Notamacropus eugenii: one gene and its partners. The protein of the gene in region 3 binds, or shares a complex with, the protein of the main gene of each other region. Links are inferred from orthologs where the notes say so. Each region holds a gene or a part of one and is shown on either strand. Other genes may lie near its edges.

Region 1 (6,514 bases), about 210 Mb from region 3:
CCTCTACCATGAAGAAATAGAAACAGCACAAAGAAAACAAAGAGAAACTCCATCAAATAGGCACAAAAGAGTTCTAGGCTGTAAATGACACAATTCAGAGGGTGACGAGGGATCGATTCTCAAGATATCTTAAATAAAAAACTATCATCAACTCTTGGAACTTGGAAAACCTCTTTTACTTCTTGTAACTAAAAAAGGAAGTCAAGAAAATACCCATAACTACTGAGCCATACACCTACTTTTCCATCTCTACACAATCTTTATGAGAATAATACATGTATACTGAGAAGATCCTTGATGAAGGTATGATTAAGGATCAGGCTTTTGCAGCAGATCATATCTTTTCAATAAAAAACTGATAGGTTGGTGGTATCAAATTTAATTCCCTACATGCATACTGACTTAGAAAACACAAATTAACATTGTCTGTGTTATGCTGTACTTTTATTTATTTTGTTAAACATTTCCCAATTAGATTTTAATCTAGTTGGAACTTGAGGAGGGCAGCAAGTTTGACACCTCTGATGTAGAAAATAAAAGATCCTAACATGCTTATTTGTTGATTATTTCAAAGCATCTGATTCAGCAGAGCAAAATGCTTCCTTAAAGATTTTCCCCAAAGAAGTGTGCCCCATGCATGTCAAAATTGAACAAAACTGCTCAAAAGGTGTAACAAAGATAACTGCTTGACAAACCTTTGATTATAAATGTTAAGTGAGACATGCTCACCAAGACATCTGTCAGCATCAGAATTCAAATGAAAGAGGGATTCTCCTTGAAGAAGGTTTATGAGAGGATATACAACAAGAGTTAGACACAATGATGTGTAGGTAAGCTGCAATCTTCACCTCTGGAGGTAGTACCTATATTGATTAGACAGTCACTTATGGATTAAAGAAGTATTTTAAGTTTGTGCCCATTTCCATTTTGTGGTTTGTCAACCATATTAAGATAGAACAGTGTCTAACTTATTTTTAAACAATATAAAGATACAGACTTTGTTTAGTTTCTGTATAACTGGTTTCACGTATTATAAGGACAAACAAAGGGGAACCCAAAGACATTCCTATCTCTTCTCTGCTGACGCTTAAACAAGGGTGGGGAACCTGCAGCATGAACATTTGAGGTCATATGTGACCCTTTAGGTCCTCAAGTGCAGCCCTTTGTCTGAATCCAAACTGCCCAAAACTAATCCCCTTAATAAAAGGATTTATTTTGTAAAACTTAGAGTCAAGCAAAAAGCCCAACCCAAGAACCTAGAAAGCCACATGTGGCCTTGGGGCTAAAGGTTCCCCACACCTGGCACAGACCCTGCTGCTGCCTGGAATTTTCCCCTTAATTCTTTCTCAGCCTGATACCTTTCCCAATGCGTGCCTTTCCTGGCTATCTTCACACAGTTATATAGGAAGCATGAAGATCAGGGTAGGGGAGAGGTATGTTCCTGATATTCAAAGCTTGAATTCTAAATGCTTTCTTACAGAAGTATTATTATCAAGGATGGGTATTACTACCAAGGGTGGTTAAGTTGGCATCACTGAGGTACATTATGGGCAAGACAATTTATGATTTTGTTGTGGGTGAATTATAAACCTTCTATAATTAAGAATACAGTTGACAGTTGCTATGGCTGAAAAAAATTAATCATCCAGTGGACAATCTGGTGATAAGATTCTCTAAACTTACCTGAACTGGTCTTTAAATAACAGGCATACAATCTATTTTCAGACCTGTACATGAAGGCTTTGTAGCTTGCTAGGACCTACCAGAGCTTACAGTCCACTGGCACAGCTTTCAAGAAGTGAGGATTGCCGTCATAAAATAATGGGTCATCACAGCAAGATATTAGTGGAGTACATTAGAAGTCAAATAGGCTTTTATAGATGGCTTGAGACCTGTAAATCACTATTTATAGCATAACTTCTAAGGAAAGATTCTTTTTGTTCCCAGCAACAAACTAGTAACTTATAAAGCACAACCCATTTTTAATTTAGAGAATGCCTATATATGTTCATCTTCAATGCATGACATCCACAATCAAAATACTAAATATAATACTTACATTCTTTAGAGAAAAGTCTTTTCCTTTTACCCTGTCCACCATCTGCTCCTCCTCCTACATCTTCAGTATCTTCCTCAAACTAGAAGAGTTTAAAGAATTGAGATAAAGAAGATTTTTTAAATGTTTAATAAAAAATTTATTTTCAAAAATGAACTAAAATTGGAAGGCATCTAATAGGTCATGGATGCAAATAACCATTTCTATATCCACACAGAAATCTCTTTACAATGTAGAACCCTAAAATCCTGAAACTAAATACAATAAGCCTTAATTTGGTGAACAAATGGTTTACCCAGCTGTTGCATGAGTGAAGGGAAGATTAGAATGTAATAGGGCTATTCATTTTCCTGTTGAATAGTTAAATGTATTTTGTAATAATGAGAAAAAAATAACATACACATAATGCTATATAAACAGCTAAAACATATGTGCTTTATATACATTAGCTAATGTGGAGAGATGAAGGATTTGGGTGACTTCATCTATCCAAGTAATTCTTGGTGTAGAGACTCCTTGTTTTACTAAAGTAGGTTAGTGACTTATCTCGTGTAACTTAATGAATAGAGAACTGGCTGGGGTACTGAGATTAGGTTAAATGACCTGCCCACAATTACAGTCAGTGTGTACAGTTTTCCCTTTTTTTCAAAAAAAATTTTTTAAATCTGTCTCTTAACTTTCAATCATTAATCTTGTTTTGTCCTCTGCAGCACAAAAAAAAGTCTTTTTTTTTCCTGAGTGCCTTTCAAATCTTTGAAAAGAGCTATCCATGTCTTTCCTTAGTTTTCCCTAAGCAAAGCACACCAAGTTTTCAAACTTTCCTTTTATGGCAGTGATGTACTGGAAAGTACAGTGGACTTCGGAGTCAGAAAACTCCCAAGTTTTCTGGCTTTGCCTTTTACTATGTGCTCTTAAGCAAGTCTTTCTGTCATCCTTAAACTAAGGGTACCAGATGATATCTAAGCTCCTTCTGTCATTTTATGCAAACCATTCCAAACCTCTCACTATTCTTATCACTTTCATCTAGATGAATTCCCATCTGTTGATGCCCCTCTTAAAATAATGTGGTTGAAACTAGGATATCCTAGGTTGAATATCTTGTCGTCTAGATGAATTCCATACAATTTTAGAGGTCGGGCAGTCCTCAGAAATCATCTAGTCCAATACTCTCATTTTGTAAAGGATGAAACTGAGACCTTGATATGCTAAATGAATGTTTCACGGCCAGAGAGGGAAACTCAAATCAGAAAAGAGTTCTCCTGATTCCCACAGGTTTACAGTCAGAAACAACATTTAGTATCATCTCCGAATAATGCATATACACAGAGGCTTTTAAGATTAAAAGGCTTTTTTTTCCCACAATGATCCTGGCAGGGAATTATCAAACAACCAACATTCATTCATTATTCTGCCTGTCACGTGCTAGGCACTGTGTTTGACGCTAGGGATGTGAAAGCAAAAATGAATAGTCTCTACCCTCAAAAAACTTAGGTCCCATGGGGGGAACAGATAACTTGTGCCTATACAAATACGTTCAAAATATAGACACAAAATACAACACACTAGCAGGGGATCCGAAAAAGCTTTAATCAGGAGGTAGCTGCTTAATTCAAGTAAATACTATAAGTAACGTCTTTCCCTTTATGTAGAGAAAGAAAGGAGTTCGTTCAAAGCCCAAAGGAGTTAAAAGAGACTCGGCCAAAATCACGCGCCCTTGGACTCCACAAATACACCGGGTCTTTTCCACGACACTGAGAACAGAAAGAGTATCGCGGCTTTCGGCGGCCTCTCCCCACGTCTGTGGGCAATGTTGTGCAGGCATCACTGACTGCTGGGGCATTTTTCTACGCCGCCCGCACAAATCCAGTTCCACAGTGAACCGAGGGAGAAGGGGTAATGTGGAAGCCGGGCACGCAGTGCAGAGAAGCGACCGCGAGCTCCCGGGGCTCCCCGGCCTTGGGCCTCAGCACGCTCCCGCCCGCACACGCTTCTAGGCCCTAGCGGCCGGGGGCCGCTGCTCGCTCCGAGCTGCGGAAAGCGGAGAGGAGGTGAGAGAGGGAGGCCTGCTCACTCACAGTAGGGTCCTCCTCCTCATCAGCCATCCCGTCCCCGGCTCCAACCGTCAGAAATTCCTCTCTTGCTCGGAGGGCGGGGGAACTCGCGAGCTTCCGCTTCCGTCCTTCCGCTTCCTCACTTCTTGCTTCCTCACCTCCACGTCAGAACCGCATCATCTGATCGAACCGCTCCTTGCTGCTCGGGAGAAGGCGCGCACACGCGGAAGTAGAAGCACGTCTCGACACGCACGCGCACGCATGCCTGGGTCTCTGATTCGTCAGAGACGAATGGGGAGGGGCTTAGGCGCGTGACCCTCAGTGATTTGAAAAAAATCTCTCAATCAGCCAGTTGTGGATTGGGGGACGGGGAGACTCGGCAGGGATGCGAATATAAAAGCTGGAGAATCCCTCCTTTCCAGTTTAGTGACAAGCAGCAGGAAATCTAGAGGCAGGGTGCCCTGAGACATCCTTGGGAGCCTTCTGTCCCTACACACAAAGTGGGAAATGACCTCCAGGGCGCCGCTGGATGGTGGAAAGATCCCGGACTTGGGTTAGAGCGGAATAACGGGGTGCCCAGGAAAGACTAGCATTTTCAGAACTATCCATCCACCTTTGGAGCCCACCTTTTACCTGGGACGCCATGAGCAGCGCCTGTTCGGGGTAGCTGACCCCTCCGATGACCCTCAGTGAGTTACGTGAAGGCCTACCCTGGTGCAGCCCGAAGAGGAGAGCAGTGTGTTCCAGCTCTCAGGAAGGTGGCTGAAGCAGACCCTGTGGAGGCCTTAGAGCTGGGTCAGACATCAGAGACGCCAAGGTCACCCGCTGCATAGCTAGTCCTCCTGACTTTTGTCTTGCGGCTGGACTTGGATGACTCTGGAAGAGAGAGTGAGGCTGACCACTTTATGCAACTCTGCCTCACTTAAATCCAGTTTACTCCTAAGTCAAGACGGCAGAAGTCATCACCGCCATGATGCCCCTGGTCCTTTTCAAAAGGGAAGGATGGACCACCTAACAATAAGGGGAATGCATACAGATAGCTATAAAACTGGCAATTGCAAATACGAGTAGTAGGAGTACCTGGAGAAATTTGAGGGGAGAGAAATCCCTTTCAGACTGGAAAGTAATGTGTGCGGGTGAGAGCTGTATTTTCTGCAGCTTGAAAAAAATAAAAAGTAAAGGCTTGTTTTGGTTTGTTTTGAGAAAGGTAATTTGGGATTGCATTTTTTTATCTGACTTGGAGAAGAATTGTAGAGAGACTTCTACATTCCCATCAAGAAAGTTCCAATATGAACTTAGAGAAGTTCTTTACCACTTTGTCCTGTAAGGCAGGCTAGGTGGTATGTAGTGCAAGACTCAGAGTGGGGAAAACCTGAATTTGAATGCTGCCTCAAATACTTAAGTTGTATGACACTGAGAAAGTCGCTTGCCTTCTCTGTTCCTCAGTTTCCTCATCTGCAAAATAGCCTCTACTTGCCAGGATTGTTGTGAGGTTAAAATGAGATCATATATGTCAAATACTTTGCAAGCCTTAATGCACTATGTAAATTCTGTTATCATTATTTCCCTGAAAGTTACAGTTTCCATTTATGCTCCTAATTTTCTGTCTTTGTGTATATTTGCACGTGTCTTTTACCTATTAGGTTGTTGTTCAGTCACTTCAGTCATGTTTGAGTCTTCATGACTTTGTGTAGAGGTCTTTTGGCAAAGATGCTGGGGTGGTTTGCCATTTCCTTCTGCAGTTCACTTTACAGATGAGGAAACTGAGGCAAACAGGGGGAAGTGACTTGCTCAGGTCACATAACTAGTAAATGTCTGAGGCCAGATTTGAACTCAGAAACATGAGTCTTCTTAACTTCAGGCCTGGCACTGTACTTCACCACCTAGCTGCCCACTTGTTATATATCCTAATTCTAGTCTTCTGATCCTTAAGATATGTGACTCTTTTTAACGTAAGAAGATGTAAAACTATTTTAACAAAAATATGTGTTTTTGTATATTCATAATATGAGAGGTAGTACAATATAGTGGAGAAAGTGGCAACCTAGGGTTCAAGATGACCTGAATTTAAATTCCCCTGACATTTACCTACTATATAACCTATCAGTGTCCCAGGCTATTTTCTAAGACTATAAACTGACGAATAGTTGCTTGTCTAAATTGAGAGAGTTTCTTCACTGTTATCTCCCTATGCTCTCAGATGAAATCATATGTCTGGGACCCCCCAAAAAGTATTTACCTATACATGTATGCATGTATATGCATATATATGCATATATGTATATATACATATATGTATCTATAACAAATGTATATGAGTTACTATTAGAAGGTAACTAATGTCTTCAGGCAAAGTAACTATCTGATCTAATTACCATTTTTACCAGAAGTGATCAAGCACTCACAA
Region 2 (6,514 bases), about 22 Mb from region 3:
ACCCTGATGAAGGCCCTCATGACTTCACATCTGGACTACTGAAATAGCCCTAGTAATGAGTCTCACGGCTACAAGTCTCTCCTCACTCCAATCCTCCACTCAACTGCCAAAATGATTTTCCTCAAGGGCACATCTGACCATGTCCCCTCCCTAGTCAACAAACTCAACTAGCTCCCTCTCACCTTCAGAATCAAAACCTGTCCTCCATCCCTAACCTTTTAAGTCTTCTCACACCTTACTCAACTTGTACTTTTCAATCTTGTGACACTGATTTCCTGGCTGTTCCTCAAACAAGACACTCATCTCTTGGTTCTGGGCATTTTTTCAGACTGTTCCCCACACCTGGAATGCTCTCCCTCCTCACCTCTACCTGCTGGATTCCTTGGCTTCAACTAAAATCCCATCTTCTACAGAAGTCTTTCCCAACCCTCTAAACCCTAGCACTTCCCTCTTTTAATTATTTCCTATTTATCTTGTTCCTATTTCTATTTATTTAATTATTTCCTATTTATCCTGTATGAAGTTTGTCTATACATGTCTATATGTTGTCTCCTCCATTAGAGTATAAGCTCCTCAAGGGCAGGGACTATCTTTTGCCTCTTTTGTATATGCAGCACTTAGCACTGCACCTGGTGTTTAGAAGATGCTTAATAAATGCTTTCTTACTGATCAGTCCTGTCACCTCATTTCTCCCTACCAAAAGCAGCAACCTCTGCACTCTAGAATCCATGACCCCAATTCTTGCGGAAATTACTCCGCTTTGGAATTTCTATTCACAGGCTGAAATGTCTTGAGTGAATATAAATTTGCCTTCCCTACGATATTTGCACAGCCCCAGAAAAGCCCAAATTAGGCTATGCTTTGTATTCCATCCAGCCGTCCACAAAGGCCACCTTGCCAACTACTCTGCCAATGCACAAATACCCTCCCCATTCCTCTTTTTCCACTTCTTGATCTGGGAAAAGTAATCAATAATACCAAAGCTTTTGGAAAGGGCATATTAATTGACTGCCCTACGGATCAACTCAGCATTCTAGTAACTCCCTGGACCAAAACTCCTTTAACTGCCCACTCTCCTCTTTAAATACAGAATGAACCCACTTATCTCACTTATTACAGAATGTAAGTTCTTGAGGGCAAGAACTGCCTTACTTTTCTGTATTTGTATCCCTGGTGCTTAACAGAGTGTTTAACATATATAGCAAATGTTTAAAAAAGTGTATTTGTTCATTCATTCACTAAGTCTTAGCTGCTTCATAAGCTTCTGTGTTAGAGAAAAATAAATTATCTGTTGACCAAACTTTTGCTGAGTATATCCAAATTTAATAAGTACATTCTTGGACCAAAGTTCATTGCTTAGCTCATATCTGAAAACTCTGAGAACTGCAAAAGTTTATAATCCATCAGCAAAACCATTGAGAATTCAAGGCAACCTCCACCACAAGGAAGTTTCATGGAGGTAGGTATTTAACTTTCAAAAAAATTTAATGGACTGACTTTGCAAAAAGCAGCTAGTATCCTCCATACTCACAGCTTTGTAACATCTCAGTTAATGTTTCCACCGATGCTTTCTCAGCACTTTCAAACCCAGCCTCTGTCAGCAAGGAGCTCACAACTACCTGCAAGGTCCGCCTGCGTGCCAGGTAGTAGTTGTCTGCAGGGGTGGTGGCCTGCTTGCTTCCTGATCTCTATATGAATCAACAAAAGAGAGCATGGTTTTAGTTTACATATTAAAGGTGAAATCACATACTCTAAGAATATAAAACTGACCACCCATGACAGATGGGAAATGAATGATAAATGCCTACCAACACCTCCCTTTTAAAATGCAGCAACTCTGCCATTCTGACTTGTGCTTCTGGCTAACTAGCTTAATCACTGAGTGTTCAAGAAGTGCTGAACCCTGGAAGCTAATGATTCCTTCCCTCAATGTATACCCCAGAATAAGGGCCTCCAGGTCTTCATAAAATTTTTTCTTTCCAGGGATGTACACACTGATAATGAGGTTGATGCATGAATTGTCAGACCTAGCTCAGTGTTTGGGAGGATCCGAAGAAATCTATGGGAGAGAAGAGGTATTAGACTGACTACCAAACTGAAGGTCTACAGAGCCGTTATGCTGACCTCATTGTGGAATTCCTGTGAAACCTGGACAGTATACCAGCACCATGCCAGGAAACTGAATCGCTTCCATTTGAACTGTCTTAGGAAGATCCTGAAGATCACTTGGCAAGATAAGGTACCAGACACTGAGGTTCTTACTCAAACTAAACTGCCAAGCATTCATATTCTGCTTCAGACAGTGCAACTCTGATGGACTGGCCACGTTGTTCAAATGCAAAACATATGCTTGCCAAAAAGACTTTTATGGAGAACTCACACAGGGCAAGCATTCATACGGTGGTCAGAAGAAGCGATACAAGGACACCCTCAAGGTGGGAGACACACGAGGAGATACTGACACTGGAACACTCAGCATGGCATTCCCACATCAGAGAAGGTGCTGTGCTCTATGAGCAAAGCAGAATTAAAAGCGCTCGAAGGAAACTCAGGATGCACAAATTCAGACTATCCACCCCAAATGTTCACATGGACTATTTGTGTCTGATCTGCGGTAGAGCATTCCGAGCTTGTACTGGTCTGGTCAGCCATAGTCGGACACATCTAAGCTTGACTCTAGCACAGTGATGTCACTTTGGTCCTCTCTGAGAACAAAGGACAACAACCAGCCCCAGAACGACTCCTCTCCTTCAGTCTCAGAGCTCCTCATTTCACATACGATGAGAAACACTTTGTAAAAGGATTTCATTGCCTCTATGTTCCCTCCAAGCACTAGAAGTCTCTGATGTTATGAAAAGAGGTTCAAATCATGACTCAGACTTTTAGCTGTGTGACCCTGGGCAAGTCACTTCACCCTGTTTGCCTCAGTTTCCTCATCTGTAAAATGAGCTGGAAAAGAAAATGGCAAACCACTCCAGTATCTAATGGGGTCACGGAAGAGCTTAACTGAATAGCAAAAACAGGAATTATTCTTCTCAGCTGTCACAGGGCCAAGTGGTTTAACTCGCACCGTTGCAAACAGATTTTTATAACAAGAAGGACGCTGAAATGTTCTTTTAAATCCCCCACCAGCTGGTTTTTCGATTGGCAAAAAATCGGGCCAATAAGAGAGAAGGCAGGGCAGCTTGAGCCAATTAGACGCTTTCTCCGGAATCCCCGCCTCCTACTGGGAACTAGCCAATTGAGGACTCGAGCGGCCAAGAGCTAGAAGAGGTGGGGGGAGGGGTACACTGGAAGGGGAGGCCTTTGCCTCGGCCAGAGTGGCTCGGTGTGGGAACTGACTCCAGAGACCCCCCAATCTTCGCGCTGCTCCGTTTTGCTGAGGCCAGGGACTAAGTCCTCATGCCCCTGACCCACGCCCTCTGATTCTTACCGCTCCTGAGCTACCGGCTCCGGCAGTTGCAGCTGTGTCAGCCATCTTGAATACCTGAGAATGTGCATGTGCGCAGGGCAGCCTGGGAACTGTAGTCCTAGGGGGAAGCGGGGGCGGTGCAGGGATAGGAGGGAGGAGGGAGAGGGGTCGGGCTCACAGCTCCAGTTTCCAAAGATGGGCGTTGTGGTGGGTGTGACCAGAGTCCGTGACTTCACGTGGCCTTACACGAGAGGATAGAGTGCACGCTGGCTTGTTAGACCACTAGGAGCCTAAAGCCTGGGAAATGCGCCCTCAGGTGACAGCAGGAAAAGGGAGCTTAGATGTGTTTCGTTCACCATTGAAACCCCAGCAGCTTCATAGCCTCCTGGAGCAGAGACACCTCAGTGTCCCAGGATCACAGGCTTTGGACTTGGGGCACGGAATTCTTAATCCTTCTTGTGTATCTCGGACCCTTTAGGCACATCTAAGGACCCCTTCTCAGAATCATGTTTTTCAGTGCGTAAGAATACAAAGGATTCCAATTAAGTTAAATACAGATAATCATGTTAAAAACAAACCACCAAGTTCATGAACCCCAGGTTTAAAACATCTCTGCTAAATTAAAAAATTCTGAGATGCTACCTCACACCTATTGGATTGGGTAACAGGACAGAGGGGGAGGGGGAGAAACGTTGGAGGGGACGTGGGAAAACTGAGACTTTGGTGCACTGTTGGGGTTGCGAACTGATAAAATCATTCTGTAGAGCAATCTGGAACTGTCTAGGGAGCTATGAAACCAGGCATGCCCTTTGACCTAGCAATACCACTACTAGGTCTGTATACCAAAAGAGATTTTAAAAAGGAAAAGGACCTATGTGCACAAATATTTATAAATAAATATATTTATATATTATAAATGTAAATAAAATATTTGTAGCAACTCTTTTCTGATGGCAGGGACCTGGAAATTGATGGGATGGCTGAACAAGTTGTGTTATGTGATTGTGATAGAATACTATTATGCTATAAGAAATGATGAGCAGGATGCACTCAGAAACCTGGAAGGACTTACATGAACCGATGCAGAGTTAAATGAGTAGAACCAGGGGAATAGTGTACTCAGTAATGTTGAGGTTTAGGGGTGCTCCCACAGAAATAGCAGGGTCTTGCCCAAATGAATTTGACTCAAGCCTTCTTTCAGCCAAAGAAAAACAAAGTTGCTTTGTTTTTTTTTAAGATTGGCCATATTGAACAGACTCTTAAGGAATCTGAGCATTTGTGACTCTTGTATTGACAATTGGGCCAGATACAATGTGAGCTAGATTGAATCTGAACGCCTTCATGGAAGCAAGATGAATCTTATATACAGAAAGATTGTGTGAGAGATCTAGAGTTGGCCAAGAACTCCAGAGTAACTAGAGATGTAACCAGTAACTACAGATGGGGTTTAAGGAGGGTCCTAGCCAATGGAGGGCTAGGCTAGGTTAAGCATAACAAATTTGGGCATGAAAAGCCAAATCAAGTGGGAAGATTCAAAGAGCGTTCAAGCAGGTTCCTAGAGCCTGTACCCCATCAGTAACAGAAATACTGTAAGATGATTAGCTGTGAATGATTTAGCTATTCTCAGTAACACAATGATCCAAGACAACTCTGAAGAACTTAGGATGTAAAATGCTATCCATCCCCAGAGAAAGAACTGATGGTCTCAGAATACAGAGACTTTTTTTACTTTATTTTTCTTGAAGGGTTTTTTTTGGGGTCTATATTTTCTTTTACAATATGACTAGTATGGAAATTGTTTTGCATGCCTACACATGGATAACCTATATCAAATTGCTTGCCTTCTCAATGAGCAGGATGAGGAGGAAGGGAGAGAATTTGAAACTCGAAATTTTTAAAATGAATGTTAAAAGTTGTTTTCACGTGTAATTGAGGGAAAATAAAATACCAAATATATATATATATTTTTAAATACCTCTGCTTTAGTGGGATCTTTGACATAATTTAGTTCAGCCCTTCCTCTCCCCCCCCCTTTTTACAGAATTGGAAATCGAGATCTGGAAGAAGTGAAATGCACAAAGTGCAGGGATCCAGATTTCCAAGGCTTTTTCCACTTCATTGTTAGGAAACCACACCCTTCGCCAGCAGTCAAGAGACAAGAATTTTTGGATCCCAAACCTTTTGCCCTGAGTCCTAGAGGTTACTAAAGCTTCAGTGACTAACAAGAGCTCCACCCCTTCACAACGAAGTCTACAGCAATTCTAGGGTTTAGAGATCAATCCCTTTCTCCACAGAACCGCAGAATATTCCTACTAGAAGGGACTTTATTATTAGGACCATAATATTCAGAGCAGGAAGGGGCTTTTGAGGTGATTTCGTCCAACCTTTTTATTTGACAGGAGAAACTTGCAATTCAGGGCGGCATCGAAGTGATCAAAATGATATGCAACTAAGTAGCAAAGCCAGAACACTCCAATCACCTTTGGGGCAGGACAGCGCAGCGCCCACGTACAGAGTACTCCTCTGGGTAGAGGAGGGTGCTCTCCTCACCCTGGGTGACAACACTACCACCTTCACGCCCACACCTGTGCTAGAGCGGCCCTGAGGGCAGCAAGGCCCCTTCCCCCCTACACCCACCCCTCCCCTTGGCTCTGAGAAGCAGGAGCCAGGGGGCGGGGTCCCCTCGGGTCCGTGCGCACCCCGGAGTTCGGATCCGGGGCAGCCCCTAGACCGCGGGGTTAGCAGGCTCTGGAGAGGGGGCCACGGGGGAGAAGGGAGGGGGGCGCGATACCTCTCTACAGCAGGAACCCACAGCCCCTCCGTCTCCCCCCCCCGCCCCCTCCTCCCCACTTCCTGCCCAACTTCAAACGTCGAATCCCTAGCGCAGCACCGAAATTGTAAACACTCCGCTCGAGCGCGGAGGAGGGGTCGAGATGGAAGCGGTCAGGGGCAGGTAGGGAGTGATCTCTTCCTCGGCTCCCCACGTCCAGCCCGGTGTCAGTGGCGGGCCTACCCCAAGGACACAGTTCTGGAGCTGGAAGGTCCATGCCGGGAGGAACAGGGTGCGAAGAGGCGACTCCAGGACTCACCTGTTAGGTAGGC
Region 3 (6,514 bases):
ATTATTGTACCACAGGGGGCAGCTAGGTGATGCAGTGGCTAGAGCACCAGTACAGGAGTCAGGAGGACCTGAGTTCAAATCTCACCTCAGACATTTGACACTCACTAGCTGTGTGACCTTGGGCAAGTCACTCAACCCCAACTGCCTCATCCTGGGTCATCTCCAGTCATCCTGATGAATAACTGGTCACTGGATTCAGATGGCTCTGGAGGAGGAAGTGAGGCTGGTGACCTGCACAGCCCTCCCGGACTCAAAACAAAGTCATGTCATTCAGGTCCTCCTGACTCCTGTACTGGTGCTCTATCCAGTGAACCACCTAGCTGCCCCTTGTGGTACAATAATGACCCAGTTAAAATTATTCAACCTAAGTACATGGAGGACCTGGTCCAAATCATTGGAAAGTCATGTCATCATTACACACACACACACACACACACACACACACACACACACACACACACACCCCAATCTTTTCAGTAGTCCCAGTATTTCACTTAAAAAATTAAATAAAAATTTAAATTAAAAAATTTTTAAAAGGAGGCTCTTCATCCTGAGCTTCTACCTAATAACCTTGATATCATCCCAAACACTCCTTTTCATATTTTGATATTTCTTTCCCTGGCACCGAGCACAGTACCTGGCATAGTTTCTTGCTGCTGTTTAGTCAATTTGCCCACATCCAAGTCTTCATGACCCCATTTGGGGTTTTCTTATATTTATGGAGGGTGGTGGGAGGCAATCAGGATGAGGTGATTAGGCCGGGCTCACAGTTACTAAGTGTGAAGTTTCTGAGGCCAGATGTGAACTTGGGTCCTTCTGACACCAGGGCTGGTTCTCTATCTACTGCACCACCTAGCTGCCCTTCGTTTGGGGTCTTCTTGACAAAGTTACTGGAGTGGTTTGCCATTTTTCTTTCCACCTCATTTTACAGATGAGGATGAGGCAGAAGAGGCAAACAGAGTTAAAGTGACTTGCCCAGAGGCAACATTTGAACTCAGATCCTCCTGACTCCAGGGCTGGCACTCAATACACTGTGCTAACCTATTTGCCCTTAACTGGCAGAGTAGGTGCTTAATAAATGCTTATAGAATTTAAATGAATTTACAAATAAGTTATTTTGTCTTCCCAGAGAAACTGTTTTTCCCCAATACATCTCCAATTATTTATGACACTCTGTCTTCTGAACCCCCACTCCCAAGAGTCCCCTACGAGTCAGCAACTTTTAGGAGTCCCCAACTCATAAAAATTTTAATATTTCCAACAGGTCCCTGCAACACATACAGCATTCCAAATGCAGTAGTCTGAACTGACCCTCCTTCACTTGGACAGGCAAATGAGTTTCTTAAAAAGGAAATCAAATCATTCCAAAAGAACCCCACCCAGGCTTTTAAGAAGGTGTTAACTTTTTAAGGTGGATTACTCAGGGTTCCTAGGCTGTCAGGAAAATCTTATTCCTATTTACCTGTAGTCCAATAAAGGATCTGTAGACAAGTTGTCCAGACTCATGCCTCAATAAGGCAAACATCCAGATCTGCTCTGTTCAAAAGTATCATTTTAAAAATTAACATGAATGTACTTCTACAATGTGCTCTACGTAGGCCAGAGGTGTCAAACATACCACTTTAAAATTAAATCAATATTTGGCCCACAGGGATACTTATATACAATTTAATCAACTGTTTCTATTTGAGTTTGACACTACTGCTCTAGGCAAATCAATATTCCAAGCAACCTGCATACTATTATGTTTCTGCTTTCACATTCTTAATGGATAGAGTAAGACAACAGATATCATTAGCACTAAACTTCTGTGTGGCTAAATTCTCATCTACAAATTGGGTCAGTTTCTTTGAAAGGAAACATAACAGAAAAATGATTGTACAATTACAACCTAAAACAAAAGAATATGATCTTTTTTCTCTTGCAATATTAGGGCATCCAAGAAAGATAGTCTCAGAATGTACAAGGGATCCAAATATAACCTGGACAAAGCCTCAATGAATAGCCCCTCCTTCAGGAGCTACCTTATCCCCAACTTGCACTTTAAGGTTGGTTCCTTGGAGGGATGACTGGCTATGTTGAGTCCAAAGAGTACACTACTCTGTGGCCTGGCACCCCAAGCTCACAACCCTAAACCCTAGCCCAGAAACTCTCACCAGTGGGCTTACAATTAGGTGAAAGCAAAGACATTTACTAAGCTGACATTGTAAAACCAAGTAGCTACAAAACACTTCCTACACACACAGGAAAACGCAGGTGAAAAGGTGGAAGGAAGAATTTATTAAGCTCCTACTACGCGTCAGGCATTGTGATTTACAAACGGTATCTTATTTGATTCTCCTATCCCTACTTCACAGCACAAGAAACAGACAAAAAGAGGTGACACAGGTAGTGTCTGAGCCTGTATTTGAACCACGATACCTCGTGGGAAAAGTGAGCAGAAACTGAGAGTCCACACAACTCATCCTTCAGCACAGCTGAGCACTTAGGTCCTTCCACCACTCTACCCACCGATGGGCTTGGCAGCTGCCCGGGAAAGGCAGCTCCACTCCTACCTTGAGTTTGCTCCTGACTGGGAACAGGAAGCTCCTCAATGAGCAGCTATTGTTTCTAGCACTGAATTTAGCTGAACACAGCTAAACAAGGCTAAGGTCTGCACTCTTTCAGAGAGTCCCTACCCTAGGACTCTCAGCTTTCCCAGGGGTGCTCTTTTGGGGCCTCTGCTGTGAGACCTACTGCCTCCCAGACTGGAGAACGGGGAGCAGGATCATTTCAACAAACCCAAAGCCTAAGGTTTAGCCTTTTCTTTCAACAACTCTTCCTATAAAAGGGCTGAGTCCCCTTAGCCAGACTTAACACCCACTTTAGGTGAATATCCCATATATTTCCCAAATGTTCAAACAATAACCATTTTTGCCCCATAATTAACCAACACCCCTACAGCTCAGGATTCCCTAGTTTTTAAAGTACATACTTTAAATCTCTTGGTGGTCTATAGCAAATAAGACAGGAAAAGGTACAAACGCAAGCTATGCCCCGGCTACTAGTTTCACACCTTTAGGGAGGGCAAATGAGCACACTCACTTGCATGCTCTGTCCGCAACACAAAACGGTCCGTCCAAATCCACTTTCTTTTTTGGAGCGCTATATGGTTATAATGACCACATCTAATCCCAAATTAGAAATGAGAAAATTCACCTCCCTCACTTTCTCACAAAGGTCATGAGTGGAAAAGAAGAAATTTAGAAATTCTACCTGAATGAGACACACTCTTCCATCGGATCTCTGGCTATTACCAAGACTTCCCCTGTGAATTTACTGCGTGTGGAACTCTCTCTGCCATCGATACTCTTATAAAGTTACCTAGGGCACTGGCCCAGGATCACAGCCAGCATTCTTCGTGGGCAGGACTTGAATACAGGTCTTCCTGCTTCCCGCCAGTTCTCTATCCACGGCGCCAGGATACAATTTTGCCAAAATTTTATTTTCCTCGTACCTGCCACAAGGGATGCCCGCTCCAACTCGCCAATTCTCCAAAAGGATCGCTCTCCCTCTCCACAACTCCTATAGAAAATTTAAAAATACCCCGGCTCCCCCTTCCCGCGCAGGCGCAGAAAGTCCCGGTAGTCAGCAGACTATCCTACGGGGAGCCTCCAGTAAGCTCTGGGGACGCTTTCCTCCCCTTATACCCACTTGCCGCTCACCTATCGAGCCCCTGAAGACATGCCTCCCGACGTCCGGCTCCCCCACCCGTGCTGTCTCCGGTTCCTCACCGGCTCCCAACAGCAGCTCGTGTGGCGCGAGCCACCATCTCAAACCTCTGCCTCTTCGGCGGGTCCTAGCAGTACCTTAGACTTCCTCACAGGTCCTGGCAGAGCCAGGTCAAAGACCCTTCAGCCCGCCGCCTCAACCCGGAAAAATCTTCCTCTGCCAACAGCTTCCACAAAAGGGTCTCTTCCACATTCCCATGGACAAAAGGAATATACTCCGCTCTCTGCCTTAGCCGCTTCCCCACTTCTTTTCGTCCTGCTTCGCCACATCTAGGACCTGGACGGTGACAAACAGTGCTGGCGCTTGCGCGGCGCCTGCGCAGTAGGTGAACCTAAGGGGGGGGGGGGGGAAGCGGAGGGGGGAGGAGTCCAAGCGCGTTCGCTCTGAGTCTGCGCGGTCCTTCACCCTCAGCTTGGTAAAGCGCGTACTCGCGACATGCCAGGCTGGATTTAAAGGGCCAGTTTACTTGCAACCTGGCTTTTTAAAAAATCGTTCCTTTGTCGTCGCTGTCCGAGGTTGGTGCTCGGTAGCTGAACATGGAACAGGGGTGGCAGCGACGACAGCTGCTGCTGTTTTGCTTCCTCCTGCTTGTATTGAAGAGCTGTTGTGGGAAGCCAAAGGAAAAAGAAGAGGAGGAGGAGGAGGAGCACCTACCCAGCAAATGCGAAGGTACCCTGGGCATCCACCGAGGATGCGCCCTGTGCTCCCGGGCCAGCTCGGATGGGCTCTGAGACAGGGAGGGGCACGACGTTTGTAGAGGGAAAAGCGGGGGCGGGATGGAGACTGATCCTCGCTGTGTGGCCCCTGGCAAAGCGCTTCTCCTCTCTGAGCTTGTTTACCCATCCGCAAAATGGGCACGGTCCGCATGCCGCCTATGGAGCCGCGTGGCTGGTATTCCCCTTCCCGTCACTGCCGGACTCTGGGAATTAGGGGGATTGGACCTGGGGGGGAATGTAGGCTCCGTCACTTGCTGACCAGAGCCCCTTAGGGTTCCCTTGCGCCCTCCTCTCCTTACCTGTAAAATGGTGATGGTAAAGGTCGTATTACCTTGTCCGGGCTGTTGTGAGGCTAAGTAGACATAAAGGACTTGGTCAACTAAAGCTCTAAATAAATACTGACACTGCTTTGTTGTTCAGTCGTGACCCTATTTAGGGTTTTCTTGACAAAGATACTGGAGTGGTTTGCCATTTTCTTCTCCACCTCATTTTACAGATGAGAAAACTGAGGCAAACAGGGTTGAATGACTTCCCCAGGGTCGCACAGCCTGGCGCAAGTGGTCCCTGTGGTCCTTAGGTTCATGAACAGGGAAATTCGCCACTCCAGCCTCCAGCTTCCACCGAAACCCAGTTCTAGTGTCTTATTGGAGCAGTGATGGATTTTTGAAGGCTATGCAGGTGGAATTTAAAATGTAGGAAGCTCTACCAAACCAGAAAGGCTTCAAGTTGTTGTATTTGCCTTTTCTTCTCAGAGGGAGATGATGACATGACTTGCAGTTGACTTTGATTTGAGTGAGGGAGGGCTGTGCAAGGTCAGCAGCCTCACTTTGTCCTCCAGAGCCATCTGTCCATCCAGAGGACTGGAGGTGGCCCAGGATGCAATGAGAGACACTGGCCTTTTTAGGCTAAAGTCTTTTCAGATTCTCAAAAAACAAAAGAAAACCAAACTGGGAGGGGAAGACCCTTGGGATTCCTGGCCAAAAGAGAAACAGTTTCTATTTACTATTTACATTCACTTTGAGCTAGGAGGAGGGGGACTTGTTGTCCAAAGGCTTCAATCACATCCAGGAAAGAACTCTTAGCCTTTCATCAAAGGACCAGCCCAGATAAATTGGGAGAAGTTTATTACCAGGTTGGCCCAGTAATGATTTTTTACAACCCAGCAACTCATAAAGATCAACTACTGAGGTACAAAGGGGTTGTGTTCTGCTTTGATAAAGGGAGTATTTCCCACCTGGACAAAATCACAGTTTTTTCAAATGTAAAACTCTGGTGCCTCTGAGCCCATGCCTTAAAACTGATATAAACTGTAATTCAGGCCTACCAAGCTGAAAGTGGGGTTTAAAGAATCATATTAGAGCTGGAAAGGACCTTAGAAATCTTTTAATTCGCATGGCAGCAGTTGTGAACACCCTGCCCTGTCCCACCCCAGCTTGGAAGCTTCCAAATTAAAGGAGCCTTGGAAGGAGAAGGTGATTCAGCCACTCCTTGATGCCCATAAACTAGCAAGGAAGAACAAAGGTAGTTGTCATGTTGCCTAACTGGGGAATGTTTGGGAAGGATACTCCCAAACAGTTTTGGACTGTGCAGAAGTTGTGAGCACTAAGGACTTCATCCCGTACTGATTTGCCTGTGGCTACACAGCTAGCATCTTTTTCCCTGATGAACTCAGTGTTACTGATGTAATACATTGTTTCAGAAGATCTCATTTCATAAGTGTGGCCCTTCACTTTATGCAAAAGGCAACCCACTCCCCCCAACACACCCCTTTAATCAGTGGTCTTCATAAGAAGTTATGGGGGGGAGGGGGAATACTTCTCCTGATAGTCAACATTATGGCCTCTTCTCACTTAGGCTAGTTCTTGGATAACAAACTTATATCATCTGTTACCAAGGCTGTACTTTACCAGCATGGTCTTCAAGAGCCCAGAACCACCATGAAGCTTCAGAGTAGGATGCTAAAGGTATTACTGATATTAATAATAATAAGTAGCATTTATATGGTGTTACTATTTACAAAGTGCTTT

Evidence for each region.
Region 1: TAF6 (region 3) and TAF13 share a complex: the UniProt entries of both Homo sapiens proteins name them as parts of the TFIID basal transcription factor complex. The link is inferred for Notamacropus eugenii from reciprocal best matches to the Homo sapiens genes TAF6 and TAF13.
Region 2: TAF6 (region 3) and TAF8 share a complex: the UniProt entries of both Homo sapiens proteins name them as parts of the TFIID basal transcription factor complex. The link is inferred for Notamacropus eugenii from reciprocal best matches to the Homo sapiens genes TAF6 and TAF8.

The regions. Positions count from the first base shown.
Region 1 is NC_092873.1:287,195,804-287,202,317, forward strand, and holds the start of TAF13 (transcription initiation factor TFIID subunit 13), read right to left. Parts: upstream 4,328-6,514; 5' UTR 4,159-4,327; coding exon 4,132-4,158; intron 2,139-4,131; coding exon 2,060-2,138; intron 1-2,059. UniProt on the Homo sapiens protein: The TFIID basal transcription factor complex plays a major role in the initiation of RNA polymerase II (Pol II)-dependent transcription.
Region 2 is NC_092873.1:103,087,954-103,094,467, reverse strand, and holds the start of TAF8 (transcription initiation factor TFIID subunit 8), read right to left. Parts: upstream 3,535-6,514; 5' UTR 3,479-3,534; coding exon 3,434-3,478; intron 1,689-3,433; coding exon 1,532-1,688; intron 1-1,531. UniProt on the Homo sapiens protein: The TFIID basal transcription factor complex plays a major role in the initiation of RNA polymerase II (Pol II)-dependent transcription.
Region 3 is NC_092873.1:80,658,657-80,665,170, reverse strand, and holds the start of TAF6 (transcription initiation factor TFIID subunit 6), read right to left. Parts: upstream 3,555-6,514; 5' UTR 3,396-3,554; coding exon 3,364-3,395; exon of another isoform or gene 3,279-3,363; coding exon of another isoform or gene 3,256-3,278; intron 1-3,255. Other genes in the region: CNPY4 (protein canopy homolog 4), read left to right, coding at 4,308-4,440. UniProt on the Homo sapiens protein: The TFIID basal transcription factor complex plays a major role in the initiation of RNA polymerase II (Pol II)-dependent transcription.